Macaca fascicularis: one gene and its partners. The protein of the gene in region 3 purifies or fractionates together with the protein of the main gene of each other region. This does not show direct contact. Links are inferred from orthologs where the notes say so. Each region holds a gene or a part of one and is shown on either strand. Other genes may lie near its edges. The genes, in order: USP36, SRPK2 and GNL2.

What was found.
Region 1: the proteins of GNL2 (region 3) and USP36 purify together in Homo sapiens (affinity purification with mass spectrometry; 3 studies listed by BioGRID and IntAct, with this or other methods). This does not show direct contact. The link is inferred for Macaca fascicularis from reciprocal best matches to the Homo sapiens genes GNL2 and USP36.
Region 2: the proteins of GNL2 (region 3) and SRPK2 purify together in Homo sapiens (affinity purification with mass spectrometry; 3 studies listed by BioGRID and IntAct, with this or other methods). This does not show direct contact. The link is inferred for Macaca fascicularis from reciprocal best matches to the Homo sapiens genes GNL2 and SRPK2.

Annotation. Positions count from the first base shown.
Region 1 is NC_088390.1:85,205,190-85,215,819, forward strand, and holds part of USP36 (ubiquitin carboxyl-terminal hydrolase 36), read right to left. Parts: intron 7,930-10,630; coding exon 7,252-7,929; intron 6,611-7,251; exon of another isoform or gene 6,577-6,610; coding exon 6,446-6,576; intron 4,300-6,445; coding exon 3,706-4,299; intron 2,845-3,705; coding exon 2,630-2,844; intron 566-2,629; coding exon 464-565; intron 1-463. UniProt on the Homo sapiens protein: Deubiquitinase essential for the regulation of nucleolar structure and function. Required for cell and organism viability.
Region 2 is NC_088377.1:146,910,246-146,920,975, forward strand, and holds the start of SRPK2 (SRSF protein kinase 2), read right to left. Parts: upstream 7,357-10,730; 5' UTR 7,336-7,356; coding exon 7,209-7,335; intron 6,884-7,208; exon of another isoform or gene 6,767-6,883; coding exon of another isoform or gene 6,751-6,766; intron 6,662-6,750; coding exon 6,607-6,661; intron 1-6,606. UniProt on the Homo sapiens protein: Serine/arginine-rich protein-specific kinase which specifically phosphorylates its substrates at serine residues located in regions rich in arginine/serine dipeptides, known as RS domains and is involved in the phosphorylation of SR splicing factors and the regulation of splicing.
Region 3 is NC_088375.1:197,334,331-197,344,960, forward strand, and holds part of GNL2 (nucleolar GTP-binding protein 2), read left to right. Parts: intron 1-1,435; coding exon 1,436-1,575; intron 1,576-4,470; coding exon 4,471-4,655; intron 4,656-8,540; coding exon 8,541-8,607; intron 8,608-9,558; coding exon 9,559-9,717; intron 9,718-10,154; coding exon 10,155-10,268; intron 10,269-10,630. UniProt on the Homo sapiens protein: GTPase that associates with pre-60S ribosomal subunits in the nucleolus and is required for their nuclear export and maturation.

The DNA of each region.
Region 1 (10,630 bases), on a different chromosome or scaffold from region 3:
ACAGAACCCCCAACACCACCCTCTTAGCTAAACGCTAAACCACGGCCACAGACTTCAGTTCTCTCTAAAACCACGCCCTCGTCTGAGAAACAAAGATGTCCTATTCGGCCTCGAAGTCTGAATAAAAACATGCTCTGAGTAAGAAGTGACATTACCTAGGTTGGAAGAGCTTGGTCACTCTGCCCCTTCCCTACCCAAGACCCAGCATGTGCTGGGTTCCTCACCCTGCCCCAACCCTCAGAAGCAGCTGTTCTGGATCCTGCCATGGACAGAAGCCACCTTCGTGCCACGGCCGAGGGTTTAAAGAGGATTCCAGCCAGTGTTGAGATTCCTCTTCCCATTCTCAAAGCCGAGCGATGCCTGCCCTCCACACTCACAGTACACCAGGATCCATTCCACACCCTTCCCTCCTCCAAAACCAACCAATCAAAGGCAAACAGAAGTCCTGTCTCCAAACCAGTACCTTTTCTCCCATAAGCTTTATCAGATGAGTATTTGAGCAGTTCCTGGACCACATCAGACTCTCGCTCTCCATTCCAAGACACAGGAGGGGCCTGGCCCAGCCCTGCAAGGAGGAGCCAAGAAACATTTACAAACGTTTAAAATAACCCACTGGGGAAGCAACCACACACCTTAAATTATAGCAGAACTTACAGTAAGTAGATGCCATTTTTTTTTTTTTTTAAAGACAGGGTCTCACTATGTTGCCCAGGCTGGTCTCAAACTCCTGGGGACTCCTACTGGCCTCCCAAAGTGCTCCCAAACTGTAATCCCAAAATGCTGGGATTACAGGCATGAGCCATGGCGCCCAGCCTAAATGTTTATTTACTAATGCTTACATGCTTAATTTACTAATGATCTCACACAGTAGAGAAGGTTGTCCAAGTCAATTCATGAAAAAGAAAACATGGAAAATAACAAAAAGCTAAAAAGCAAAAAAAAACCCTTAAAACCCCTTTAACCAGCAGGGTAAGTCCTCAGTCTGACAGAGGGAGGGACGAAAACTAGATCTAAATGGAACCCACTTCACCTAAGGGAGAGGCCCGTGGCCCAGAACCAGCCTGACACCTGGACGACCACAGGGGTGGGGGGAATGGCCAAGCTTGGCTGCTGCCATCAGGGACCCCGACCTCTTAAGCCCTGTCCAGGGGTAACCTGGTCCCTGTCAGCAACACTGCACAGGTCCACCCAGCATGTCGGGACCAGGAGAGCACTCACCACCCTCATCGGGTTCTAGAAACCCTTTCTGAACTAGTCCTCTGGCCAGCTACCCACATAGCCCCTGGAATATACTCACCTCCCTTCACACAAATCTAACCTCATTTCTCCCTGCCTCCAATTCCTCAGTGAGCTCCAGGCTAAGTGTCCCCTGCCCCTGCACAGTGGCTTCCATAGTTCCCATCTCATCCACAGCCCAGGGACGTGGCCATGCAGAGTAGCCTGCCTGCTCCCAACATGCTGCGCCTCCTGCCCTTGGGCCTGGTACCCTGCTCATTTAGCCATTCTCCTCAGGTGCACAGGACTGAGAGTGTATGGGGCCAGGTGTTCCCCCTCAGAGCCCATGCAGCCCCCAGTGCGCAGTGCAGGGCGCACTGCTCAGGACACACAACTAGCACCTGGCATGGACCCTGGCGCACTACAAGTGCTCAAGTGATGTCCCTTGAATTCCTGCATTAACAAGCCAACTCCGCTTTGCTCCAAGGATGGCACGGAGCACGGCTCTGGCACCATGTTAGTGCAGTACTTCTGAGAGCATGCTGGCCAGCAAACACGGTTGGCACTTGCTAGCACCCGCATTTTGCAATTTATTTCATACTATTTCATTTTTATCGATAAATTCCTTTCTTAAGAGTTGGATAAATACAAATCAGTCTCTAAGGTCTTGCTGGCCCCTGGATGCACTGCCATCAGACCTTCCAGACTGCAGCGGAGGCCTCACTCAAACTCAGCCCGCTATACCAAGCAGCCAAGACTTTCTTCCCTTCACTTAACAAATGTGTTCTGTGGCAGGTGCCTGCCAAGGCATGCCCCAGCCAGCCCTAAAGAAAACAAAAGACCCTCCAATTGGACAGCCCCAAGGACAGCCACAGCACACAGGTCCCCAACAGCAAGCGCACCATGCTATGTTCTGAAAGGCCCAGCTACATAGAGGGAGAGGAGGATTGAACCCAACTCTTCTAAGTTCAACCATCACAGAAAAAAACTCAGGCTGGGAGTTTTTTCAATGAGAAGCTGTAGACAGGAAAAAACTCAGGGAGTCATTCAATGAGAAGCTGTAGACAGGAAGAGCTTTCAATCAGAAGATCCACTGGCGTTCACAGAATGTTTTAAACCTCATGTGCGCTGTAACCTCTCCCATGGGGTTTTTCAGTCAAATGCTTTTGACACAGGAGGAAGCTTCAACCCCATCACCCAAGGGAACAGACTCGTGGGCGGGGAGTGAAGGTTGGCAGGGTCCCGGGGACCTCCACATCTTCTCCCAGACCCTCCCAAGCTCAGATGCAGGAGGCACTGCTCTCAGCTTGTGCACTCCCTAATACCCCCCTCGCCCAATGCATACCCATGTGGTCCTGCACCCCCTCCCCTGGTGCATACCCATGCGGTCCCCAACCCCTCGCCCAGTGCATACCCATGTGGTCTCCAGGACACCAGCCATTCACAGATGGCGTGTGGCTGCTGGACTCGGGGACAGCAGCATCTCGGGGCTTGGCGTTCCTCAGGACTTCGAGATGCCCATCCTCTTCTACCACCCACTGTGGCTCCTGCTTTCTTTTTTTCTTTTTCTTTTTCCTTGGAGACTCTTCCATGGTCTCTGGATCACCATCACCCATGGGAGAGCAGCTGCTGGGAAGTGAGAGGCAGCAGTCAGCTCTGAGCAAGCTGGAAGGGGAGCAGGAGCTCACAGACTCCCGCCTGCAACATGGAGAAGGTGCCACCCCAGCTGTGACCCAGTGCACGGAGCTCCCTGCAACATTCTTCCCCCAACACGCATTAGCGGACGCTCCACATGCAGCCATGGAGACAATGGAGGGAAAACCAGTCATGTTTCTCATCCTAACTGAGCCAAGCCCGTCGAGGCTAATGTGCAGGCTACTGTGACCTGATGAAACTGCAGAGTCTGGCCTGGCCTGGGTCACCTGATCCAGCATCCTTGGACGGCTTTGCACATACAATGATGGACACTGCTGTCCATACCACTGTCACTTCAAGGACCAATCCACTGGTATTTATCAGAGGAGTCTTTTGTGTTTTTTTTTTTTTTTTTTTTTCTTAAAGACAGGGTCTAGCTGTCACCCAGGCTGTAGGGCAGTGACGCAATCTCAGCTCACTGAAACCTCCGCCTCCTGGGCTCAAACCATCCTCCCATCTTAGCCTCCTGAGTAGCTGGGACCACAGGCATGTGCCACCATGCCCAACCAATTTTTGTTTTTGGTAGAGAAAGGGCTTTGCCGTGTTGCCCAGGCTGGTCTCAAACTCTTGGGTTCAAGTGATCCGCCTGCCTCAGCCTCCCAAAGTGCTAGGATTACAGGTGTCAGCCACCACAACGGGCCAGAGGAGACATTTGCTCACATATTCACATTTTAGAAAACCACAAAAGCAGACTACATTTCCAGATCATACCTACGTGGGGTTAGAGGTAGATTCTGTGGTTTTGCTTTGTTTCTTGGCAGAGGTACACAGATGCCACCTTGCTCCTGCCCTTACCTGTGCCAAGGTGGGTCCTGGTGCAGGCCACCTTCTTCACCAAGACCCTCTGCTCCCTTCCTCCTCCGCTTCCTGCTGCTCGCGTGGTGGCCGTCCGTAACACATCCCACCGGCTGCCCGTTCACCCGTGGCTGTGTGCCGTCTTCCTGCCGTCTGACAGCGGGCAGCTGGGCCTGGCCCTCCCTCTTGTGCGTGGGGCTCCCAGGCTGTGTCTGTGTCTGCCCCTCCTGCAGGGCGGTGGCAGCTGTGTCCTCTGGGTGCTTTTTCTTCTTCCTCTTCCTCTTCCCGTGGGGAGCTGCAGTGGCCTCCCTGATGTGCTGTGGGAGGCACGTCTCTGAGCCTAGCCTCTGGAGCTCTCCCAGGAAGGTCTTTTTCTTCTTCTCAGAGGGGCTCCGGGGGGGCTCGCTGGCCTCTGGCAGCTGGTGTGGAAGGGACACAAGGTCCTCGTTGACCTGAGGCAGGGCCGTCGAGAAGGAGGAGCAGCTCTGTGGTTCTGACATCCCTGGGGGCTTGGGGGTACTGGACAGCAATGTGGGGTGGGGGCTGAAGGGGGGCTGCAGGCGGCTGGATGATTGGGGAGCAGGTGACACAGCCCTGTGGGGACAGCCAGGAAACAGGGAGAGGATGTTCTGAAAGACCCAGCAGAGCTGTTTCTTCTGTTCACCCTCACTCCCCTCCCTTTCACCTAAAAATCTGAAAAGGCTTTTGCCCTGCAGTTTTCAGATACACATTAAGTTACACGTAAGTTTGAAAGAAAGCTAACAATTAATTCGACATCTATTTAAATGCAAAGTTGGCCGGGCGCAGTGGCTCATGCCTGTAATTCCAGCACTTTGGGAAGCCGAGGTGGCCGCATCACCTGAGGTCAGGAGTTTGAGACCAGCCTGGCCAACAAGGTAAAATCCCATCTCTACTAAAAATACAAAAATTAGCCAGGCATGGTGGCACACGCCTGTAATCTCAGCTACTTGGGAGGCTGAGGCAGGAGAATCGCCTGAACCTGGGAGGCAGAGGTTGCAGTGAGCCGAGATCGCGCAATTGCACTCCAGCCTGGGCGACAGAGCAAGATTTCGTCTCAAAAAAAAAAAAAAAAAAAAGCAAAGTTACCTACATGGTAGGTTAATAGGTGCAGCAAACCACCATGGCACCTCTGCAACAAACCTTTACATCCTGCACACGTACCCCGGAACTTAAAATAATTGATCCCTAAGATTTAAAAAAAAAAAAAAAAAAAAAAAGGCAAGCCAACACATGATTTTAAAAGTCATTTTTTTTCTTTTAATAAGGCAAAGTTAATAAGAATAGTTCCATGCCTTAGTTTCTTGTCACCAAGCAGTTCAGATATTTTTGCGAGCGCTAATATTTTAAATCTTTAATAGAAATGTGTTAAGGGAGGAAGCCTTCACTAAACAATAAATGGTAAGGAAGAAAAAAAGATCCCGTGAAGATTTATTCTCCAACCTCTGAAAGTCTCAGGGTGTTCCCAAGCAGGAAATGAGCCTCATAAGGCAGGCAAGTGTTGAGTTGGCCCTAATGACACCTCCACATTAGCATCATTAGGACGCTGAAACCGGGACACAGATGTGTAGAGCAGAATCATAAGCAAGGCATGTCCGGGACAGGATCTAGCGCCAAACCCAGTGAGGCTCTCTGAGCTCCCTCTTGCCAGCTATGTGTCCCTAGGAAAATTAACTTCCCACTCTGAACCACCATGTTCTCCTTTGTCAATGAGCTACGACCACAAAGCCCACCTCCCAAGGTTCCTGAGGAAAACGGGACCCCCATCATCATCTAAACAAACTACAAGGGCCATGACAGCTGCACGACGTTTGATTACCCTGTCTTCTGGAATCTTTTCAAAAAAAGCTTATAAGGCAAGGAACAAAAAACACCCAAACACTCAAGGCCCTCCCACGCACACAAATCTTATGCTAGGTATAGGGTAGAAGTGTCTTTGTGCGTGTGTATGTGAGAGGAGAGTAAGGCAGAGGCTGTGGGTGACGTACAGTCATACCTCACCCTCATGCAGCACTGGAGATTCTAGAACTAGAACCCAGCGCCAAGGTCCCCAGTACAGTCCCCACAGGCCGCCTCATGGCTCACCCCATCTTTCACTGCTTCCTTCCCCACTCCCACCGGCTTCCAGACAGCCATTGACCAGTGACTCTCAACTTCCTGCCACTCGAGGCACCCAACAGACGCAGGCAGCCCCTGCGGACCAAGGCCCATATGCAGAGGAAAGGGACTGCATCTCCAGCAGGTGTGTGCAGAGGAACCCGAGAGCCCTGAGACAGTTCTTAACCCACATGATGCTAGCAAGCAAGACACCCCAGAAAAAATGCACAGGACTCCGAGCTCACTCAAGGCCTCTCGCCAAGGCCTTACCTCACCTTTCTCTTCGACTGGGAAGTACTGTCATGGGGCTGGTAGGGATACAGGACAGGTCAGTCTCCAGCACACCATGTCATCACATGGATGTCGCAGACAGACCACCAACAAAGACAGAACTAAGACATCGGGACTGCAGAGGCTGAACTGCCTTCACCACCCAAAGCTCCTTTACCACAGGGGAACACAGAAGAGGGGGACCTTGGTCGGTGACGTCCCCCCGTACCTCCTGGCTGCCCAATGCTTTGTCAGTCCTGTGAGGCTGGTGATCCGTCCAACTCCTCACCAGCCAAGCACACGCAACCACAGGGAGAACCAGTCGGCACCCCGAAGGTCCCGGCCCGAAGCTTACCTGGCTCTACGGACGGGCCAAGTGGAGGCAACGACGGGGTGAGAGGTTTTCATGGGGTGGGTGAGGTCGGAGGATGGTGAGGGGGGAGGTGGACGGAGGTCATTGCCGGTCGCCCTCCACAGGGTGCTGGCCTGCAGTTATCGACATAAATAAAAACTTGGTGGTCTAAAAAAGGTTTCCGTGAGTGAAGAGGGAAAACAAAAGTAACAAAAAATGAAAATAAAAACAAAAGAGCCCAGAAAGAAAGATGAGGGGACAGAAGAAGACAAAAAGGGGAGGTGAGGGGCAGGGGAATGGTAGAAGAAGAACCAGAAAAGTATTTTTGGTTAGAAACAAAAAAAAGGAAGAAATTTTAAACAAAAATCTCAGCACAACAATCACATCCTCGTGCCGTGGCTGCCTTCTAAGCTTCCTGCTGCAGCCGTGCTGGGCACCCCACTCGGCTCTGCGCTTCCTGCCCGTCCCACCCCTGCTAGGGAAGTGCGCTGGTGGGGCTCACCCTCCCTCGGGTTCAGTCAGGATCTTCCGCCTACTGCGAAAACGGAACTGCTACCTTGCCCAAACCTCCATGAGTCACATGAGTATCACCAGATCATCAGGGCTCTCTCAACACCCCACATTGCCTTCACCCCAGGATAGCCGTTCTTTAATTGCAAATAGTTGGGAATGACTAAAAGACACTTTGTTCCTCTGACATGAGGGAGGCCAAAGTCCCTGGACAATGTTCTCACTCCCTCCAAACCCCAACCAAGCAACTCTTGGAGCTCTCCTGATACACAGCAGTGGCGAGACCCCCACACACCCACCTTCTTGGCAGAAAGGGCCAGTTTTTTGGCTGGTGGAGGAGACATGGTGCTTGCAGGCTCAGCGGTGGCATTGCTCAGGACAGGGGACTTCAGCTTCACCGTCTTAGAATCTGCTCCACTTGGCGGCGTTTTGGAGTGGCCAGCGGTGGAACAGTTTGTTTCCTGAGAATCGCAGAGATGGGCCGCTCCACTCCTGGCGGTCTGGCGGGCCTTGGTGGAGTCGCTGCTGGCCGAGTGCTCTGGGCTGGAGCTGCTGGAGCCCCTCCTGTCGAGGCCAGTGCTCTCGTCATTCCTCTTCAACCCATGCCCGTTGGCAGTGGCTGTAGCCAGGAGCTTAGGTGAGGTAGAGAGGACAGCATCCCTGCTGTCCCAGGAGCCCTGCCTTTGGCTCCCAGATCTGCTGCTACTCGAGCTGCTGGTCCCAGGCAGCCCCTGAGCAGTTCTGGGGGAGAAGTGCTGTGGAGGAGCTGGCTTCTTCACCTTCTTTCCAGGGTCATCCAGGATAGTCGGGATGTGTGTGGGTGTCTGGGGGAGTTTGGGGGACGGGGATCCTGAGGGCAGCTTTGGAGGAACATAGCCGTTCTGGGATTTCAGGCCCAGGGTGGAGCCATTCCTGGAAATGGGCACGCCAACCTCTTCAGTGCTGTGCAGCTTCTTCATTGTCCCCGAATCCTGTCGCTAAGGAGAGCAAAGCAGAAAACACAACTGAGGAAGCGACAAGTCCCAGTCGGGCCACGCCTTCATAAGGCCACAACGCATCTTAGTAGTGGGCATGGCCTCTGATTAGCATGCTCAAGACAAATTATTTATGTGGACTCTTGGTAAAGACATTGTGGCTTCTTTGAACAATTCTGATGTTTTGTGACATCCCAAGGAACTGGGACCACAGGCGTGCACCACCACACACCGCTAATTTTTGTATTTTTGGCAGAGACAGGGTTTCACCATGTTGGCCAGGATGGTCTCAAACTCCTAACTTCAAACAATCCACCTTCCTCAGCCTCCAGAAGTACTAGGATTACAGGTGTGAGCCACAGCACCTGGCCTGAATACATATCTTTATGGCCATCTTTACTACAAAACCAGTACATTTTCATCAAGATTTGAGAAAGAGAAAAAAGTATAAAGGAAAAAAATTTAGCAAAGTCCCGTCACCTAAACATATCATGCATTAACATTCTAGTGCTTTCTTCTTTAAGTCTTTTCTTTCGAATGGTTCTGCCCTGAAGAGTTGTGTCCCAGTTTTATCTTAATGCTATTACCTCAAGCATCTTTATGGGCGATAACTCTCAATAAATGTCTTTAAGACAGGGTCTTGCTCTGTTGCCCAGGCTGGAGTGCAGTGGTGCAATGATGTCATCATAGTTCACTGCAGACTCAACCTTCTGGGCTCAAGAGATCTTCCCACTTCAGAGGCACAAGCAGCTAGGACTATAGGAGTAGGTCACCATACCTGAATACTTTTTATTATTTTGTAGAGATGCAGGGGGGGGGTCTTGCTATGTTGCCCCGGCTGGCCTTGAACTCCTGAGCTCAAGCAATCCTCCCACCCTGGCCTCTCAAAGTGCTGGGATTATAGGCCTGAGCAACTGCAACCTGCCTGTCGGCCGTCTTTGACATTTTACTATATATATACTATATACTACTGACACATATTAACTATACGGTTAATTTATATAAGCTATATTGTCTCCAATTGTTGAAATTAACAATACAGTACAGTATATGTGTGTGTATCCTTTACCCTTCAGAGCACTTATTACAACTGCATAGAAATAACTTATTATTCTGTATTTAGATGCTGAATGTCGGCCTTCCCCTGCTTAACTATGAGGCTGTACCCTTATCTCTCTTGTTCCCACTGCAGCCCTCACCGGCAACTCAAGGGTCTGGTATATAGCCTATACTTAAAAAATATTTGTTGACCTTTTCCTGTACTTAGTAGGCCATGCTAATTTTCTGGAAATTGAATTACAAGGCTATAAATATTTTCGTGAAATCTAATGCAAACTGCCAAACTGCTTTTACTATACTCCAGCAACATCTATTTTTCAAAACATTTGCTAATTTGACACTTGTTTGGGCTATTACCACTTTAACATTCATATTCTCTGCATGTGCACTAGAGTGATCTCCATTTGAATGAGATCTTATGTTTACAAATGTTAACCATTTGTTGACAATATTTATTGTTTCATTTGTATTTGTAATAAGTTCTGTACAAAAATGTACATCTTAGTCGATTCATAATTTTTCTATATTTTATCCCTCAATTTTAAGCATACAAAGTCTCCTTCCCTCTACCAGAGGTTAAAAATTTACCTCTATTTTCTTCTGAGTTTTGTTTTGCTCCCTACATTCTATTCTTTGTTAATACTGTTTTCTAAAAGGAATTCATCTTTCCACTGCACCCAAAGCCTTTTCACTGGTTGAACATTCCCATACACACTAGAACTTGCACCATGTCATTCAGAGTAAAATGGCTCTTGTCTGCTTGCAGTGTTATTTGGAAAATCACGTTGGTAATGAAAATGCTCATGGTCAGTGAAGCGCCCCCGCAGGTGTGCCTGACACAGGGACTCTCCTTGAGCCAACCTCCACCCTCGGGCATCACTCTGCCTGTGGAGTTCCTGTGGCAAGTGAGGCTTCCTTTATTTTTGGGGTTTTTTTTGAGACAGGGTCTCATTCTGTTGTCCAGGCTGGAGCGCAGTGGCACACTGATGGCTTAATGCAGCCTCGACCTCCTGTGCTTAAGCGATCCTCCTGCCTCAACCTGCCCACAGCTGGGACAACAGACGTACACACCGCGCCTGGCTAATGTTTGCACTTTTTTTGGAGATGGGGTCTATGTTGCCCAGGCTGCTTCTTTTTTTTTTTTTTTGAGATGGAGTCCCACTCTGTCGCCCAGGCTGGAGTGCAATAGCACAATCTCAGCTCACTGCAACATCTACCTCCCAGGTTCAAGCGATTCTGCTACCTCGGCCTCTTGAATAGCTGGGATTACAGGCACATACCACCAAGCCCAGCTAACTTTTGTATTTTTAGTAGAGACAGGGTCTCAACATGTTGGCCAAGCTGGTCTTGAACTCCTGACCTCAAATAGTCCACCCACCTCAGCCTCCCAAAGTGCCCAGCCCCCCTTTCCTTTATTTTTTAAGACAAGGTCTCACTCTGTCACCTTGCCTGGAGTTCACTGGCGTGATCATGGCTCACTGCATATAGCCTCAACCTCCCGGGCTCAAGTGATCCTTCCACATCAGCTTACTGAATATTCTCTATGGCGATGGGGATCTATGTTGCCCAGGCTGCTTTTTAAATTTGTTTTGAGACAGGGTCTTGCTCTGTTGCCCAGGCTGGTGTGGAGTGGTGTGATCACGAC
Region 2 (10,730 bases), on a different chromosome or scaffold from region 3:
CCATTTACTGTATTCTACTGTAGAGGTGGTCAGCAAAAATGTTTGTTGAATAAACAAATGTGTAAAAAAAAAAAAAGAAATGAGGGCCGGGCGCCATGGCTCACGCCTGTAATCCCAGCACTTTGGGAGGCGGGCAGATTACGAGGCCAGGAGATTGAGACCATCCTGGCTAATACGGTGAAACCCTGTCTCTACTGAAAATACAAAAAAATTACCCAGGCGCGGTGGCGGCTGCCTGTAGTCCCAGCTACTCAGGAGGCTGAGGTAGAAGAATGGCGTGAACCCAGGAGGCGGAGCTTGCAGCGAGCTAAAATCTCGCCACTACACTCCAGCCTGGATGACGCAGCGAGTCTCCGTCTCAAAAAAAAAAAAGAAAGAAAGAAAGAAATGAAAATTAGGCAATCCATGAGAAGCATTCCAAAGTCATGGGCTTATGAGCTTGAATTTATACTACAGAGAAGGGTTGAGGCTTACTGAATAAGAATATAAACTTGTATCACTACATTCCAAAATTGTCTCACTAGGCTAGGCGCGGTGGCTCACGCCCGTAATTCCAGCACTTTGGGAGGCTGAGGCGGGCGGATCATTTGAGGCCAGGAGTTCATAATCAGCCTGGTCAACCTGGTGAAACCCCATCTCTACTAAAAATACAAAAATTAGCCAGGTGTGGTGGCACATGCCTGTAGTCCCAGCTACTTGGGAGGCTGAGCCAGGAGAATCGCTTGAACCTGGGAGGTGGCGGTTGCAGTGAGACGTGATCACGCCACTGCACTCCAGCCTGGGTGACACAGCAAGATTCCATCTCAGAAAAAACTAGAAGCAAAGTATACCCAGATATCATTCAGCCTGTGAATAAAACTGTTAATTCACACAATGGAACACTTGTTACCAATAAAAAGGAAAGCACAGCCGGGAGCGGTGGCTCATGCTTGTAATCCCAGCACTATGGGAGGCCGCGGTCGGCGGATCACCTGAGGTCAGGAGTTCGAGACCAGCCTGGCCAACATGGAAAAACCCCATCTCTACTAAAAATACAAAATCAGCCAGGCATGGTGGCACATGCCTGTAATCCCAGCTACTCAGGAGGCTGAGGCAGGAGAATCACTTAAACCCGGCAGGCAGAAGTTTCAGTGAACCAAGATTGTGCCATTGCACTCCAGGCTGGGCAACAAGAGCAAAACTCCATCTCAAAAAAAAAAAAAAAAGGAATGCACTACTGACACAGGCAACAACATGGATGAATCTCAAGGGCATTACGCTGAGTGAAAAAAGGCAAATCACAAAAGGTGACATACTGCATAATTCCATTTATATAACATTCTCGAAGTGGCAACTTTAAGTGATAGAGAACAGATCAGTATTTGCCAGGCTTAGATTTGAAGAGAGAGAATGTGACTGTTCTTTGTCGTAATGAAATAGTTTGGCATCCTGACTGTGGTGATTATTCTAATCTACACAAATGATACAATTTGTTAGAAGTACACACACAAAGAGTGCATGTAAAACTGGTAAAATTCAAGTAAAATCATTCTTGAATTAATAACATTGTGTCAATGTCAATTTATTGGTTTCAACAATGTTCTATGGTTAAGATATCAACGTGGGGGAAGTTGAATAAAGAGTACACAAAGAACTCTGTACCACTTTTGCAAGGTCTTTTGAGTCTGAAATTACTTCAAAATTAAATGTTTTAATAAAAATTTTACAAGAAGAAAACAGAATTTTTTTTTTTTTTGAGACGGAGTCTTGCTCTGTCACCCAGGCTATAGTGCAGTGGCACGATCTCAGCTCACTGCAACCTCCATCTCCCAGGTTCAAGCGATTCTTCTGCCTCAGCCTCCCGAGTAGCTGGAACTGCAGAAGCACGCCACCACTCCCAGCTAATTTTTGTATTTTTAGTAGAGACAGGGTTTCACCATATTGGCCAGGCTAGTCTCGAACTCCTGACCTCATGATCTGCTCACCTTGGCCTCCCAAAGTGCTGGGATTACAGGCGTGAGCCACCACGCCCGGCCAGAAATAGAAAAATTCTAAGGAACAATAGATGAATGGATAAAATGTGGCATATCAACACTACTATTGAGCAATATAAAGGATCTAAGTACCAATACGTGCCGTAACATGGATGAACCTTGAAAACATTGTTCTAAGGAAACCAGACACAAAGCCACATACTGTATATTCCATCTACATGAAATGTTCAGAATCAGCAGATTCACAGAGACTTAGAACGTAAATTAGTTGTTGCCAACTCAGGGGGAAGGGGAATGGAGAATAACTGGGAAATAAATATGGAGTTTCTTTCTGGGGAAGTGAAAATGTTATAGAATTAGATAACGGCTGCGCAATTTAATCAGTAGACTAAAAATCTGTAAATGGCCTACTTTAAAAGGTAAATTTTATGGTATGTGAACTATATCACAATAAAAGAGTTATAAAAAAATGGGAGAGATCTTTTAAAAATTGTACCTACATATAAACATACCCTAAGGCAAAAATTTATCCCAAGCTATGTGATGTAGCTAATTCCTAAGATTTGTGATTAAACAGCACTACAGTCTTTCTGTGCTGCGTGTTACTCACAAAGCAGCACAATTAATAATTAGCAAACCAAACTCACAGGACAATCTAACAGGATTATAATTTTGACCCACTAAAAAATCTTAATCTTATTCCTGACAACAACAATTTCCAGTGTACCATAAAAGTAGCCTCTAGGAACTGGCTCAATTCATAAAAGCTCACAGATTTGAACTGAACTAAAATTAAATTAAAAGCCAGCTTGCATATACAAAGGTAGATAATGACAAAAGTAAATCATATTACATCACGCCAGACCCACAGTCACATAATTCAAGTTTGCCAATCATCATATTAATAGTTTAAAATTTACCTATTACTCCTTTTCCTCCTCTGGAAAATTAATCAAAAAGCAAAAACAGTGCTTCAGGAAACCTGAATTCTGATCCAAACGAAGCTACTGTTGTGGGCTTAACGTGTCAGAGCTATCCGTAAAATGCAAGGTACCCTGAAAATACTAGTCTCCGGGAGATTCTTTTACCACTTCTCAGGTGCCACTCCTTGCACACTCAACCACATCACCTGGTTTCCCACGCACTACTGCAGGCCAGGTCTGTTTCCACTACTACCCCCTTCCCCACAATCTATTCTCCATATAGCAGCCTTTTGTTTTGTTTTGTTTTTGGAGATGGAGTCTCCCCCTCTGTTGCCCAAGCTGGAGTGCAGTGGTGCAATCTCGGCTCACTCCAAGCTCTGCCTTCCAGGTTCACGGCATTCTCTCACCTCAGCCTCCCGAGTAGCTGGGACTACAGGCACCTGCCACCACGCCGGGCTATTTTTGTTTTTGTATTTTTAGTAGAAATGGGGTGTTAGCCAGGATGGCCTCGATCTTCTGACCTCGTGATCTGCCTGCCTCGGCTTCCCAAAGTTATGGGATTACAGGCATGAGCCACAGCGCCCGGACAGCAGCCCTCTTTTTAAACAGTGAATCAGAACCTGTCCCTTCCACATGTAAGCCTCCAATGGCCTACGGGACCAGATACGCTCTGACTCCGGCCTCCCATCAACCTTTCCGGGCCACTCCTGCCACCCTGACTTTTGGGTTCCTCGAATACTTCCAGCCCACTCCTCCCCAGGGCCTCTGCCACACTGGATCTCCTCCTCATTCTTGATCCTGCTCAAATGTCACTTCTCAGAGAGTGGAGTGTGGACTCTGGTCCTGGGCTGCCTTGATTCAACAGATGGGCATGTTATTTACTCTTGCTGTGTCCCTGTTTCCTCATCTGTAAAATGTCAGTAATAATGGTGCCTACCTCTTAGGGTTGTCACAAGGTACATGTAAAGCAATCGACAGAGTGACTGGCACAGTGTTCAAATGTCATCTATCATTATTACTTAAGATGCCCCCTCTTTTCTTCCCATCCCTTAGCCCTACCTGAAATTATCTTCTGTCACCCTCTTTGTGGTTTTCCCTAAACTTCCCAGGGTTAGCTTTGCAAGGAGCTTCGTCTTGTTCAAAACTCTATCACCTGCCTGGCGCAGTGGCTCACGCCTGTAATCCCACCACTTTGGGAGGCCAAGGCAGGTGGATCACGCGGTCAGGAGATCGAGACCATCCTGGCTAACACGGTAAAACCCCATCTCTACTAAAAATACAAACATTAGCCAGACGTGGTGGCAGGCGCCTGTAGTCCCAGCTACTCGGGAGGCTGAGGCAGGAGAATGGGCTTGAACCCAGAAGGCGGATGTTGCAGTGAGCCGAGATGCTGCCACTACACTCCAGCCTGGGCGACAGAGCGAGACTCGGTCTCAAAAAAAAAAAAAAACACAAAAAAAACCTCTATCACCATCTCCAAAGAAAGACATGTAAATACCTATTTAATAGATGAATAAATATATAACATCAAACATTTCTTTTAAATAATGTCTTGATTCAGGCCAGGAGCAGTGGCTCACGCCTGTAATCCCAGCTCTGTGGGAGGGGATCACCTGAGGTCAAGAGTTGCAGACCAGCCTGGCCAACATGGTGAAACCCCGTCTCTACAAAAAATACAAAAAAAATTAGCTAGGCTGGGTGGCGGGTGCCTGTAATCCCAGCTACTCGGGAGGCTAAGGCAGGAGAATCCCTTGAACCCGGGAGGCGGAGGTTGCAGTGAGCCAAGATCCGGCCATTGCACTCCAGCCTGAGCGACAACAGCGAAACTCTGTCTCAAAAAAAAATTAAATAAAATAATGTATTGATTCAAAGAGTTAAGTGAAAAATGGCATTGCCTCAATCAGTTACATAATTGGGCTGGTCCCATTACCTTCAGACTAGAGTCAGTTCGTTTCATTATTAGCTGGTGTGTTATTTTCCCCCTCAAATTCTATCACACATACACAACACACCGTGGGAGAAACTCGCAGATTAATCTGTGAGAGTATAAACTGAGTACTGTGGCTATTCACTAAGTCTTCATAAACATACCACATAAATCCAAACTGCGGCCCACCAAAAAGGCCCTCGACCATTAGGAAAATCACACCCTAACATATGCAAATACAAGACACATACTGACTTAATTAGAACTGTTTTTCTACCTGTACATATAGGTAACATGCACACATACGTGTCTGTTTGTATACACATGCACACATAGCCATCTCCGACACTGGGGTCACACTTTTTCCACTTCTTTTTATGTTTCTGAATATAACAGACTATGTGGAATTAAATCAATGCTTTGAATTCAGAGCTGTGATTAAAACCCAGTACTTATTCAGAATCCTAAACATTACAGTTCCCCGTACCACTGGGTAAACTTCCATGGTTCACCAAAGGAAATCTCAAATTTAAGGTTGTAATTCACTTGAAAGCTAGCACTAATTTTTTTAAACGCATCTAAAGCTACCAAAAATCCAGTCCATTTTAACATCTTATGAATTCAATATCAAATTTTTACCCACCAATTAGTTCTTCAAGTCTTTAAGAAGTGTTTCCCTTTACTCTAATTTTTTTTTTTTTTAGAAAGTTATTTTTAAGTCACTATCCACATTTTGTGAAACTCTGAAGGACCAAGGCCAACGAGAAGGGGAAAAAAGGAAACAACCAAAAATGTTTCTGGATTTTATTAAAGATGATGCTGGACTCTCGTTCCCCATAGTACCAAAGATGTCACACGGAGTATTATTGCTCAAAAGAGCGAAGCAATTAATCTAGAGGAAGAGATAACGATGTTGAACGCTGGTAAATCAAAAGAATAAGGAGAGAGGAGTGGAAAAGGAGAAGACGCGGCGGCGCTGTGCGGTCTCGGAGCAGCTCTCCAGGAAAGGGTTCTCGGGCAGCGGCCCCCCGGCTCGGGTGAGCGGCCAGACTGGAGGTGGCCAGCGCGGGCGCGTTTTCCACTCCGCCCGGCTCCGGCGCACACGCCCACCGCCCCGCGCAGCCCGCGACCCCGGCGCCCGCAGCGCACCCAAGTCACGCTCGACCCGAGCGGAAAGTTTCGAATCCAAACCAGAGAGCCGAAACGCACAGGTCTCGGGGCTGAACTCGCGCCAGGAACACGCCCGAGGCGAACCACTTGACAACCAGCTCCGGTTCTCAGCAGAAAGGCCGACAGGCGGGGGCCGGGGAGGAAGGGGAGGCGAGACACACGCCCTCGCGCACACTCAGCCCCTCCGACTCCTCCGCCCCGGCTCAGGTGGGAGCAGCGCAGCCGCCGCACTCCCGCACCGGGCGGGCCGGAGCCCCTCCCAGAAAGGGCCGCGACCCCCGGGTCAGCTCGCGCGCAGGGGACCGGTGCGCACGCCCCGCCCGGCGCCTCCCCGCCGGCCTCCCGCCCGCCCGCCGGCCAGTGGCGACCCGGGGCGGGAGGGCGCCGAGTCGAGGCTCCGTGATGCTCGGGAACCGGCCGCGGCCCGCGCGCCCCTCCCCCGCCGCCGCCCCTCCCCCCGGGCCGCCCGCGGGGCGCAGGAGCCGAGCGCCGGCGTCCCGGGAGACCAGCCCGCCCCCCGGCCGGAGGACCTGGACAACTTTCCCCTGCGCGGCCGCGGGCGCCCCCGACGGGGCAGGGGTGGGGAACCGGGACAGGCGCAGCGTGGACTCACTTTTTCGGATGTTTCTCTCTTTTCGGCCTCCGCTTTCGGGCCTGAATGGCCAGCACTGGGGGAAGAGAAGACACACATTAACGGTCGGGCCGCCCGCCAGGGCCGGCCGCGTGGCGGGGAGAGGGCGCGCCGCAGGCCACTCACCTTTCCGGGAGCTCATTCCGACGCGGCGGAAGCGGGGCGGGGGGCTTCGCGGCGGCTGCGGCGGCGGCGGCGACGCGGGCGCCGAGACGAGCCGGGCTGCAGCCTCCACTCGCTCCGCCGGCCGGGAGGAGGCGGGAACCGCGCCTGCGCCGCCACCGCCGCCGCTCCAGCAGGGACCCAGCAAGACCCGCCCCTGGCCGGCCCCGCCCCCGCCCCGCCCCCACCCGCCGGCCCCGGGGGTCGGGACCCCGGAGTCGCGCGCCCCGCGCCCCCGCCCCACCCACCTGTGCAGAGGTGGTCGCCGCCCAAGGCCGCGCTGGCCCTCGGCCTCCCCCACCCCAGCCCGCGGCCCGGGCCTCCGCCTCCTGCGCTCCTGCGGCTGGCCCAGGCCGCCCGCCTCTCCTGGGCACCGGACCCGCGGGACCCTCCCTCCCCGCCGCGGCCTCTCCCCTCCGCACCCCGGCCGGTCGCGCAGCCCGGCGCTCCATGCGCCCTTCCTTGGCCGGCGCCTCCGCGGGTCTCGCACCACCTCTCTTCCCGCGGCCTCTTCTCTCCCTTTGCTCCTCTACATCCTTGCATCCCCATGAGCGCCGCTTCCTCCTCTCCGGCGGGCGTGGAAAGGGCACACGACCAAAAGCTGGGAAACCTGGGTCCGCGATTAGCGGTGTGACCTTGGAGAAGTCATTTTCTCTCCCACCTCTACGTGCCCTCCAGGATTGCATGAGTTTAATGAAGGAAAAGATACAGATAGCATTCAAAGTACGACAATGGTTTTGCACATGAATTGAAACCCGGTTCCCTAAACACCATGTGTATAACAATTCAAAACAACAATCACACCAAGTAGTTATTTTCTGCATCCTGCAATGAGCAAACTGAGTCCCAACGAGGTTAAACAGTTTAACCAGCCAGGATCGAAATTCAGGCATGGCTGGCTGTCGACAAACTCCACCTTATCAGGCTGCCTATAAAAGATGTGAACCAAGTTGATAGTGGCACAAAAAGATAACTATAATGTTCCCTTATTTATGTAAATAATTACAATAGTTTTTGAAAGATAAGCATCCTGACCATTAACTCCCTCCTTGGTCACACAACTGTATCTTCAACTGACAAGGTGGCTTACTCTAAGGATGGTAAAACAGACAGTGCAGGAAAAGCTGCTTGGATTTTGAAGAGCCTTTAACTTTTTGTATTCAAAAATATCAAACCTTTATAGAAAAGTTACAAGAAAAATATAATTCACAGCCAAATTAACCCATATTCACCAATTTTTAACATTCTGCCACATTTGCTATGTGTCTGTGTGTATGGTTTATTTTGCTGAATCATTTGAGTTTTTGTAGACACTGTTACCCTTTATCCGTAAATATTTCGGTAAATATCTACTAGGAACAAAGATAATCTCCCATGTAATCAGAATTCCATGATCACTCCAAGAAACTTTCATGCTAATACAATGTAATCATCTGTAACATACAGGCCATATATATTCAATTTTGCAAAATATCTAAGTAATATCCCTTTTCTTTTTTTCCCAATTAGTCTACCATTAAGGATCATCTGTGGCGTTTAATTGTCATGTCTTTTTAAACACCTTTAGAATCATTCTTGGTTTTGGTTTTCTTTTTATTTATTGATTTATTTATTTAGAAATGGAGTCTCACTCCATCATCCAGGCTGGAGTGCAGTGGCGCAATCTCAGCTCACTGCAACCTCAGCCTCCCAGGTCTAAGCAATTCTCCTGCCTCAGCCTCCCGAGTAGCTGGGATTACAGGCATACAGCACCACATCTAGTTAATTTTTGTATTTTCTTTTTTTAGTAGAGACAGGGTTTCACCCTATTGGCCAGGCTGGTCTCAAACTCCTGACCTCAGGTCATTCACCCACCTCAGCCTCCCAAAGTGCTAGGATTATAGGCCTGAGCCTTGACACCCAGCCCTTTTTTTGTGTTGTTTTGTTTTCTTGTTTATAACATTGACTTTTTTGAGGAATCCGATTCCACAATTTTGCAGAATGTTCCTTGTTTTGGATTTGTCTGTTTCCCTGTGATTAGATTCAAATTAAATAATTTTGTTGGGTATACTATAGGTGATGTTGTATTCATCTTAGTGCTTCAAAATATGATGTCAGTTTGTTCCATTACTGGTGATGTTACAGATAATTATTTCTCCAACATACAGGTAACTTTTCCCTCTGTATTTAAGAAGTCTGTGTAAAAAATGAGCAAAGGATTTGAATGGACATTTCTCCAAACACATACAAATGGGCCAGGCGTGGTGGCTCAAGCCTGTAATCCCAGCACTTTGGGAGGCCGAGATGGGCAGATCACGAGGTCAGGAGATCTAGACCATCCTGGCTAACACAGTGAAACCCTGCGTCTACTAAAAAATACAAAAAACTAGCCGGGCGAGGTGGCGGGCGCCTGTAGTCCCAGCTACTCGGGAGGCTGAGGCAGGAGAATGGCGTAAACCCGGGAGGCGGAGCTTGCAGGGAGCCAAGATCCGGCCACTGCACTCCAGCCTGGGCGACAGAGCGAGACTCCGTCTCAAAAAAAAAAAAAAAAAAAAGACATACAAATGACCAAACTAGCATGTGAAAAGAGAATCAACATCATTAGTTGTTAGGAAAATACAAAGCAAAACCATAATGAGTTACTACATCATACCTACTAGGATGACTATAAAATTAATTAATTAATTTATTTATTTATTTATTTATTTATTTTGAGACAGAGTTTTGCTCTTGTTGCCCAGGCTAGAGTGCAATGGCACGATCTTGGCTCACCACAACCTCTGCCTCCCAGGTTCAAGCGATTCTCCTGCCTCAGCCTTCCCAGTAGCTGGGATTACAGGCATGTGCTACTGTGCCTGGCTAATTTTGTGTTTCTAGTAGAGATGGGGTTTCTCCATGTTGGTCAGGCTGGCATCGAACTCCCGACTTCAGGTGATCCACCTTCCTCAGCCTTCCAAAGTGCTGGGATTACAGGTGTGAGCCACTGGGCCTAGCTAAAAAATTTTTTAGTGGAAAATAAGGCCAGCTGTGATGTCTCACAAGTGTAATCTCAGCATTTTGGGAGGCTGAGGCTGGAGGATCATCTGAGTCCAGGAGTTGGCGGCTGCAGTGAACTATGATCACACCACTGCACTCCAGCCTGGGCAATAGAGTGAGACCCCATCTCAAAAAATAATGTTAATGGAAAAAAAAATGTTAGTGGGGATTTTGGAACCCTCATATGTTGGAAACATTGAAACCCTCCTGCATTTCTGGTGGGAATGTAAAATGGTGCAGTTATTATGGAAACAGTCTGTTGGCTTCTCAGAAAACTAATTATAGAATTAACAGCAATTCCACTCCTAGGTATATATGCACAAAGACTGAAAACAGATACTCAAACAAATCTTTGTACATGAGTGTTCATAGCAGCACTATCACAACAGCCAAAAGGTGGAAACAACCTAAATGGTCATCCATAAATGAATGGATAAACAAATTTTGGTATATACATGCACTGAAATATTTTTTGGCCTTAAAATTATTTAGTACTGACACATGCTACAATGTGGATGAACATCAAAAACATTATGCTAAATAAAAGCAGCCAGACACAAAATGTCACATATTGTATGATTCCATTTATATGAGATACCCAGAATAGGCAAATCTACAGAAAGCAGATTGGTGGTTGCCAGGAGTTGGGGGGTGGGAGAAGGAGGGAGCAACTGCTTAATGGGTACCAAGTTTTATTTTGGTGTGATGAAAATGTTTTGGTGCTAGATAGAGGTGGTGGTGGCACAACATTGCTAATGTACTAAAAGCCACTGAATTGTTCTCTCTAAAGTGGTTTCTTTCATCTAAGGTGAATTTCACTTCAAAACAAAACAACAAAGTTACTTGTGTGGGGTGATACTTTGAAACTGTGTGAATATCTCTTTCCTGACAATATCTCAATGGGTTGGCATCCATTGATGATTCTTGCC
Region 3 (10,630 bases):
CCAACAGTGAATAGAGTATCTTCAGTCACAGGGTGATCACGGCTTCTTCCTTGGGAAACTCCCTGTTCCATTTCAGTCTGGGCTTTTAACTTTGCCCTTAGCCACTGGTAATGTATGGGCACTTTAGATGATCAGACCCCAGTGTTTGCTTGGTGTTTGACCTCTGTCCTTGGGGGCAGATGGCAGCTACCTTTGAGTCTCTTATACTTTTGGTAGGATACTTCCTAGGAGCTGCAACACAGAAAGGTGTCAAAGAAAACTCTGCAGAGAAGCATTTAGCATGGCTGCCGGGTACTGTGACTCCAGATTAGACTGCCTGGGTTTGAATTCTAGTTCTGTCATTTATGTGCAAGTTATTAAGTCTGTCTGTTCATCAGTTTTCTCATCCCTAACAGAGAATAAGATGAAACCTATCTCACAGGACTGTCGTGGTAATCAAATGAGTAAATACAAGCAAGGCACAGTGGCTCATGCCTGTAATCCCAGCATTTTGGGAGGCCAAGGCTGGTGATTCACTTGAGGTCAGGAGTTCGAGACCAGCCTGGCCAACACGGTGAAACCCCCATCTCTACTGAATATACAAAAATTAGCCAGGCATTGTGGTGGGCACCTGTAATCCCAGCTACTTGGGAGGCTGAGGCAGGAGAATCCCTTGAGCCTGGGAGGCAGAGGTTGCAGTGAGCTGAGATTGTGCCGCTGCACTCCAGCCTGGGTGACAGAGTAAGACTCTGTCTCAAAAAAAAAAAAAGTAAATACATATAAAGTGCTTAGAATAGTACCTAGCAAATAGTGAGTATAATATAAGCATTCCTTGCTACCATCATTACCACCTTGCTGTTTTGCATTCATGCTGCAGCATGCTGTTTAATTGAATGCTTTTCAGGATCTCCCTCACAAGGTGTTTTCCAGGTGGAACAAGCAGGGCTCTGTCTTGTTCCCTTGCATGGATTCATTGGTTAATGAATCATTAACCAATTGATTAACCAATTGAGGTCCCTTTGGATCCTCATAACCCTAAAAGTGGTAACTATGACTCAGGTTTCAGTGTTTCAAGATTCTCTGTCTATACTGACTGATCAGCTGTGATTGGCTCCAAGTTTCTCTGCCAGATCTAGCAGGAAGTAGGACATTTGTCAGATCTCAGTTCCATTCCACGCTATTTATTTCTCAGTTTCATTTAGTCAGGAAACGGCTTGGAAAACTATTGAAACCTTTTGTGGGTCTGGGTTGGTGGAATAGTTCATAGTGTGCAAGTGCAGGAGAGGCAGTTTTTTGGGTTTTTTTCCTCTTTTAAGTTTGGAAATAGCTCCAAGGGATGGATGGATCAGGTACTTGGGTGAGTGAGGGTAATTTAAAATCTTGCCTTTCACCGTGTCAGTGGAAGATGAATGTGCAAATATGTATTAAGTGGCAACATTCTTTATTTGTAAAACAGGAAACACACGTGTGATTAAGCAGTCATCATTACAAAAATTTCAAGAGGAAATGGATACAGTTATGAAGGATCCATACAAAGTTGTCATGAAGCAAAGCAAGTTACCAATGTCTCTTCTCCATGATCGAATCCGGCCTCATGTAAGATGTAGGATATCCCTGGCGATGGAATTTCCTGGGCAGACTCCTTGCAGCTCCCTCTCTAACATATTTGTCTTTTGTTTTTCTTAGAAAATAGCAATTTCAGTGTAGCAATGATGAACTTCCTAAGACCTCTGTTTTCATCTTTTCACGTTTAGTATGAAGTATGGTAGTGTAGTGGATCAAAGCACAGGTTTTGGAGTTGAGACCTGAATTTTAATCCTTGCTCTATCCATTCCTGTACCCTTAGTTGGGTTTCTCTATGAACTTGAACTTCTTTGCTTTGAAAGTATAAATAGGCTGGGCGCAGTGGCTCACACCTGTAAATTGGGAGGCCCAGGCGGGCAGATCACTTGAGGTGAGGAGTTTGAGACCAGCCTGACCAATAAGAGGAAACCCCATCTCTACTAAAAATACAAAATTAGCCAGGCATGGTGGTGCATGCCTGTAATCTCAGCTACTCGGGAGGCTGAGGCAGGAGAATTGCTTGAACCTGGGAGGCGGAGATTGCAGTGAACCAAGATCGTGCCATTGCACTCCAGCCTGGGCAACAGGAGCGAAACTGTCTAAAAAGAAAAAGAAAGTATAGATAACCCACCTCCTTGGGTTATTGGCTACAGATGAAACGTCTGTAAAGCACTTGGTCCGTAGTAAGCACATAGCACACCACCTAATAAGAGCTAAATTGATAACAGATATTAGTAATATTATTTATTATTATTTATTTTGGTAGGCAAACTTGTTTTAAGTGGTAATTCCATCAAACATTGGGACAGCGTAGAATTAGGATTGAGTTGGTAGAACTTTGGTGTTGGGTACGTTCAGCTTTTGTAAGATCCTTGAGATTTCTTCTCAGCTGAAGGAAGGGGTGCTGGTCTCATTGGCTGTCAGTTGCTGAAGTTTGAAGTACGGTAAGGATTCAATCTGGGTTGAATGGAATGAGTTTCACACAGAACAAAGAAAGAGTCTGATGTTTGTCTGCTCATTTTTACTTGCATTGAATAATAATTCCCAGAAATGTAACCATTACGTAAGCTTCAGTTCCGATATGAGGAGGGGAGAAAAACATTGACATGCGTACGTGGGTTAAATAGTTCAAAGAAAAGTGTTTACTTGCAGAACAAAATAAAAACTAAGGCCTGGTTATTGCCTCAGGTTTTGTCAGTTATGTTTTGTTTTATGATGGACTAGAAGAATGGCACCTATTAGTGGAATGACTGTTTTCTTTCAGGGGAACACATGAGTGTAATTCATGAACCACAGACAAGTTGCTCATTTCCCTTGTTCTCTTTGTCTGTTCTCCCTAAAGCCATCTTTTAAGCAACTATTGAATCTTGTTTATGAGAAGAACAGAGAGGCTCTATCATGGATTTATTGCTTTGTTGCCTGTTCTTGTCAGCGCTTCTAAAATTTAGTGTTTAAGTATCTGGTATGTAGAATGAAGGGTCTACAGTTGCACCAGTCAGCTTCTTTGTTGATGCAGAAAGCTACTCAGAGTAATTGATGCGTTTTCTGCTTTGGTCTTGAAAAACCTTACCTATTTTATTTTAGTATGATATCTATTACTTATAAAATCTAATTCTGAGATTATTTTGCACAGTGGAGTTAGATCAGATATGCATATTCATCTATATGTGTTTTAGAACTACTGTATTTCTGTAGCAATACAGTAAGAGTACTGTAACTTTGCATATGTACTTTATTATATACTGTATATTACTGTATTATACTTATTAATGTGTAGATTTATAGGCAAAGCCTTGTGTCCTGTAACTTATAGGTTAAGAGATTTTGAAGATAATTTTGGTCACACTTGATTTTACCCAGTGACATTAGAACCTGTTTCTCATGTAAAATGAGCTGCTTCTGTTTGGGGATGCTCCCGAGTGGAACATAGTGACTAAAACTAAACTGAGTTGTGGGTTAGAGCATCTGAGAAAATGAAAATAGTTTAAGGATCTTTAGAAGTTGGAAGAGGGGATCCGTTAAAGTTCAGAAGCCATGGGGGCTGCTCTATCATCCTCACAGCTTTTGGTAGTGGTGCTTACAGAGGAGCTTGTGCTAGGGGGAAAAGGGTGATTTTCTTCTTTTTTCTTTTTTGATATTGTCTGCCGGCTGTTAACATTCTGTTATGTGATAGATCCTAACTCAAACTTTGACTTTTATCTTGCTTCAGAAATTCTTATGCCTGTTACTCCTATACAGGCACATCAAGTTCTAGTTAGTATCAGGTTCCTTTTATCACATCTAAACTATTATTTTGGACTTTGGCTAGATGTTTTTCATCTGAAGACTTGCCATGTGCATTTAATAAAAACGTTACCTAAATTAGGGAAAATGTTATCTGAAACTAAAATGCATCTTACAAAACAAACAATTCCTTTTAGCCATGAAAGAAATTAACTTCCAAGAAAAAGTTGGCATTTACAGTTGGTTTAAAAAAACCTCACAAATTTGAGTATGATTGTCCTTGATAAAATCTATGAATTTGGCGAATTTTATGCACTTGTTTGAAAGCTAAAAAAAATGGTGGAAAAGATTAGTTAATTTTCATCGCTGTAGCCTTAATTACATTTGACTAAAGTTTATGATAAATGAAATAAAGCAGAGTTTTTGGGAAGTTTTTGCACAACTATTCATATTTACTTTATTTGTATTACTTTTGTATCTCTCCAAGGAAGCTTACAGAACTTCGGAATAAGGGTACCAGTGTTTGTGCCATTTCAACAAGTATTTCTGATTTGAAACCAGACTGAAACCATGTTTTTATAGATTTGGGTATGGGTTGAACCTTGGAAAAATAAAATCAGAAAGTCTTTCCTAGGTGGGTGTTTAGCTTTTCGCTTTTCCTCAGTGCTTTTCTTAATTTTACCTGTTATTCTTGTTTCTCTTCAGAAATCGAAGGTCCACATTCTTGAAACTGAAAGTTTTGAAACTACATTTGGCCCTAAGTCACAGAGGAAGCGACCAAACTTATTTGCAAGTGATATGCAGTCTCTTATCGAAAATGCTGAGATGTCCACTGAGAGCTATGACCAGGGCAAGGATCGTGATTTGGTAACTGAAGACACTGGTGTGAGGTAGTTTCTTTGTTTGTTTGTTTGTTCGTTTGTTTGCTTTTTGAGACAGAGTCTCGCTCTATTGCCCAGGCTGGGGTGCAGTGGCACAATCTCGGCTCACTGCAAGCTCCACCTCCCTGGTTCATGCCATTCCCCTGCCTCAGCCTCCCGAGTAGCTGGGACTGCAGGTGCCCACCACCACGCCTGGCCAATTTTTTGTATTTTTAGTAGAGACAGGGTTTCACCGTGTTAGCCAGGATGGTCTCGATCTTCTGACCTTGTGATCCGCCCACCTCAGCCCCCAAAGTGCTGGGATTATAGCATGAGCCACTGCGCCTGGCCTTTTTTTTTTTTTTGTGGATAGAGTCTCGCTCTGTTGCCCAGGCTGGAATGCAGTGGCACGATCTCGGCCCGCTGCAACCTCTGCCTCCCAGGTTCAAGCAATTCTCCTGCCTCAGCCTGCCTCCATGCCCGGCTAATTTTTTGTATTTTAGTAGAGACAAGGTTTCACCGTGTTGCCCAGGCTGGTCTTGAACTCGTGAGCTCAGTCAGTCCACCCACCTCGGCCTCCTAAAGTGCTAGGATTACAGGTGTGAGCCACCGCGCCTGGCCGAGGTACAGTTTTGAAGTTCATGCAAGTCTCATCATTTGCTCTTCTGCCACAAAACATTTTCTTTCAAGTTATTTTGCCTGTGTGAAGCTCAGTGCTTTAATTTATATATGGAGCTGTCTTCTTCCCTCAGGCTAGAGACATTGGTGAAATTGGGGCTAGACTGAAGATGTCTAATGCGGCTTGATAAAGGTCTCTCTTCATTCCCAAAATAAATAAGATTTTCTTCATTTATAATCGTAATACACCAGTCATAGACAAATTAGGAAATATAGTTAAGTTGGAAAATGCAACACAAAGAACATAACTCATAACCCCATTGCAGATATTAAGCATTGTTAATGCCTCCGTGAATATGCGGGGCTTCCTTAACTGGAAGACTCTGAGTTCATAGATGGCCTTTAAGGTTTCTTTGACTCTTTGAAGAAAATGTGGAAAATTTGTGAGCATACCTAAAGGCGGTGGAGTTTTGTCTTTTTGTTTGTTTGTTTTGGGGAGGAGAAGAGGAAGTGTCTATAACTTTCATCATATTCTTGTAGGGATCCATACTCAAGAATCAGTCACTAGCTGGCTGCAGTGGCTTACCTGTAATACTAGTTTTCTGGGAGGCCAAGGCAGGAAGATCACTTGAGCACAGGAGTTTGAGACCAGCCTAGGCAACATAGCGAGACCTTGTCTCTACAAAAAATAAAAACTTGGCTGGGCATAGTGATGTACCTGTAGTCCCAGCTACCCAGAAGGCTGAGGTGGGAGGATCACTGGAGCCCAGGAGTTTGAGGCTGCAGTAAGCTGTGATTATTAGGAATACGTTTCTATGTCAGTACATAATCAACAATAATATAATATTTATTGTCAGAGTGGTATTTTGTTTGTTATGGCCAGTATCGTTGTTGGACATTTATACTGTGTATAGTTTTTCCTTATGGTGAACAACACAAGGGTGAAGCATCAATGTGACCACATCTCTTTCATCCTTAATTATTCCCCAAAGATAAATTCTTACGGAGCAAATCGTGGTATCAAAAGGTATGCATGTTTTTTGATAGGCAGCTGCCACATTGCTCTTGAGAAAGGTTTAATTTCATTTCCCTTGGGTAGTGCTAGAAAGCTCTCATTCTCCATCTATCTCATGTCTCTTAAATGAAGTGAAGGTTTTGCTGTCTTAGTGAAGAGGCATTGTCCTTTGACTGCATCAGTGTTATTACCTCATTGCTATTGTCAGCCCATCTTCAAGCATTGGGCCAACTAGAGATATAATGTCAAGCCATTTGAGGCCAAGCAAAAAGAGGCAGTGAGTTCATCTATTTATTCTTAGAATTATTTGAACTTTCGTTGGCTTTGTATTCTGCTGATTTGAATTTTTCCTCCCGCAAAAGGTATAGTAGGTAATGGAGTAAAGATAAAACTATTTTTGTTTACCTTGGATAAATGTCCTTGAGACTAGTAAATGAACAGATTCTAAACCTTATCAGAAAAATACTGCTTTATATGGGAGCTATGGAGTATAGGTTGTGATTCAGCTCCTGCCAATTCCATTTTAAAATTCTTTTAATTCTTCTTTTTCTTTTTTTTTTTTTTTTTTGAGACAGAGTCTCGCTCTGTGCCCAGGCTGGAGTGCAGTGGTGCGATCTCGGCTCACTGCAAGGTCTGCCTCCCAGGTTCACACCATTCTCCTGCCTCGGCCTCCCAAATAGCTGGGACTACAGGTACCCACCACCGTGCCCGCTAATTTTTGTATTTTTAGCAGAGACAGGTTTCACCATGTTAGCCTGGATGGTCTCGATCTCCTGACCTCGTGATCTGACCGCCTCGGCTTCCCAAAGTGCTGGGATTACAGGCGTCAGCCACCACACTCGGCCTGCCATTTTATAATTCTCTGTGATGTACTGCTTAATTCAGTCATGCTTTTTTTTTTTTAGTTTAATGTTTTATTGTGGTAAAATATATGTAACAAAAAATGTGGCCGGGCGCAGTGGCTCACACCTGCAATGCTAGCACTTTGGAGGCTGAGGCGGGCGGATCACCTGAGGTCAGGAGTTCGAGATCAGCCTGACCAACATGGTGAAACCTAGTCCCTACTAAAAATGCAAAAATTAGCTGTACCCGGGGCGAACACCTGTAGTACCAGCTACTCGGGAGGCTGACGCTGGAGAATTGCTTGAACCCGGGAGGCGGAGGTTGCAGTGAGCCAAGATCGCACCACTGCATTCCAGCTTGTGCGACAGAGCAAGACTCCGTCTCAAAAAAAAAAAAAAAAAGTACTCTTCTAACCTTTTTTTTTTTTTTTTTTTTGAGACGGAGTCTCGCTCTGTCACCCAGGCTGGAGTGCAGTGGCGCAATCTCGGCTCACTGCAAGCTCCGCCTCCCGGATTCACGCCATTCTCCTGCCTCAGCCTCCCGAGTAGCTGGGACTACAGGCGCCCGCCCCTGCGCCCGGCTAATTTTTTCTATTTTTAGTAGAGACGGGGTTTCACCATGGTCTCGATCTCCTGACCTTGTGATCCGCCCACCTCGGCCTCCCAAAGTGCTGGGATTACAGGCGTGAGCCACCACGCCCGGCCTCCATTTCCCCTCTGCCCCCAGCCCCTGGTAACAACATTCTACTTTCTGTCTGTTGTGAATTTCACTGGTTTAGGTGCCTAATATAAGTGGAATCATACAGTATTTGTCCTTTTGTGTCTGGCTTATTTCACTTAGTATAATGTCTTCAAGATTCATTCATGTCATTGCATGTGTCAGAATTTTCTTCTTCTTTTTTTTTTTAATTAATTAATTAATTTTTTGAGACAGGGTCTTGCTGTGTCACCCAGGCTGGAGCAGTAGCCTGCTCACGGCTCACTGCAGCCTCAACCTCCTGGGCTCAAGGAGTTCTCCCACCCCAGTCTCCCCAGTAGCTGGGACTACAAGCATGCAACACTATGCCCAGCTAATTTGTGTATTTTTTGTGGAGATGGGGTTTTGCCATGTTGCCCAGGCTGGTCTCGAACTCCTGGGCTCAAGCAGTCTGCCCTGCTTGGCCTCCCAAGGTACTGGAATTACAGGTGTGCACCACTGAATCAGCTAGAATTTCCTCCTTTTTAAAGTTGAATGCTATTTTGTTGTATATATGTGCCACATTGTGTTTATTCATTTATTTGTTGACAGACATTTGGGCACACTTTTAAAATTCAGTTTGTTTCTGGTCCATCTCCAACTGGGTTTGATACTGTTTCTTTTGGTACATTGACTTTACCCTAAAGCATTCTTTTAGTCTTAATGGTGCTTCAGTTGCTCATTTGGGGTGCTTTCTTATTTAGAAATGAAGCTCAAGAAGAGATCTATAAAAAGGGACAGTCCAAAAGAATATGGGGTGAGCTCTACAAGGTACGACTCCTAAATTCCCTCCCATTGAGTGGTTCCTTTGGCTTTCGTGATTTTGTAGAAGAAAACTGATTTTGATGTATTGAACCTCTGTTGCCCAGAGTACAGGTACCACTGCCTGTTCCATCCTCTTCCTTCTACAAAGAAACTTGAAAGACATACTAGCATTGATCTAGAGAACTGCATTGTTTAAAGTACTTGTATAAGAGTAACAGCTATCTTTTATTATACACTCATATAGTTATTACCTGTCAGTATTTTTTAAGATTTCCACCAAAGTGATATTCCTGTTTAGATTTATCATGCCTACTTAAAGTCACATGCAACATTTTAAGTTATTTAGTCCACCCCACTCCTTTTATAGATGAGGACTCTTGTCTAGAAAGGTTTAATGCTGTACCTAGCTCAACTAGCTTGTTAGTGAAGGAGGCTTTGTGTATCTTGATTTCTGATCCAGTGCTCTTTAACTGGCAGAGGTTTATGTCCATGCACTAATAATAACAACCTTCAGAAGAAAAATTTTCAAGCATAATCATGTAATTAAATAGTAACATAATAGAAAACGAGTACCGTGAAGGCAAGCTAAACTTTTCAGTTTTTTGTGAAATACACAAAACCTATAATATTACAAACTTAAAGATTATATTACAAACTTAAAGAAGTCTAAGAAGTAATCCATAGTAGTTCAGTAATCCATAGTAGTTAGGAAATAAGTTGAGTTTCATCTAAGCTAGTTTTCCTGTTTTAAATTCAACAGGTTTCAAAAACCACAGGATGAAAAACCTTTTGAATTCTGATCGCTGGGCCTTGAGATTAACTACAACCAACTCTGCCCAGAGACCGTTTTGAAGTTGTCTCTAAATGTTATTATTTTATTTTCCCCAGACTCCCTTAAATGTCATCCCTCTTTTATTTGTACTGTAGCAAACCATTTTTGCCTCTCTGAATTTTCAGGTGATAGATTCATCAGATGTTGTAGTTCAAGTTCTTGATGCTAGAGATCCAATGGGCACTCGTTCCCCTCACATTGAAACTTACCTGAAGAAGGAAAAACCTTGGAAACACCTCATTTTTGTACTTAACAAATGTGACCTTGTTCCAACTTGGGCAACAGTAAGTACAACTACTCAACCAGAATAGACTATTAAGACATCTGTCAATAAGTCAGTTGTGGGTTTTTAGGCTAAAGTGTTGCACTGCTGAGATTGTAGTAATGGGAGTGCTCTCGTTGGAAATACAAAAGTGTGCTCATTGATGGTGGGCGGAGGCACCAGGAGACAGCTGCTGAGGCTACTGCCTGCTTCACATTATGCTCCATTAATTGCATTTAGTAACAATGAAGACATCTTTTGGAATACTGTTTTGTATTTATAAGACAAGACAAAGCATTAACCATTATACTTGGAAAAACCATTTCAAAGAATTGTGGCTAACATTTTCCTTAGACAACATTATATTTGAAACAGTTCTGTAATTCAAGCTCTGATTCTTCCACATAATGTAAATAAATGAACTGCAGTTTACCAACATGTTTTCGTCTCTGCCTCTAGAAACGGTGGGTTGCTGTCCTCTCCCAGGATTATCCGACACTTGCTTTCCATGCAAGCCTTACTAACCCATTTGGCAAGGGAGCATTCATTCAGCTTCTGCGGCAGTTTGGAAAGGTATTGAGCCCTGATCTGTTTCTCCTGGAGTTGTGTAGCTGTGAGTTGGTGTAAGAATCTGTCTTGCCACGGCATAGCAGAAAGTTACCAATTTCTTAACTGGACATGGTTGCGCAGATCTGTAGTCCTAGCTACTCAGGACACTGAGGCAGGAGGATCGCTGGAGCCCAGGAGATCAAGGCTACAGTGAGCTATGATGGCAACACTGCACTCTAGCCTGGGTGACAGCAAAACCCTGCCTCTACAAAAAAAAGAAGATGTGGCCAGGCGTGGTGGCTCATACCTGTAATCCCAGCACTTTGGGAGGCTGAGGCAGGCAGATCACAAGGTCAAGAGTTTGAGACCAGCCTGGCCAATATGGT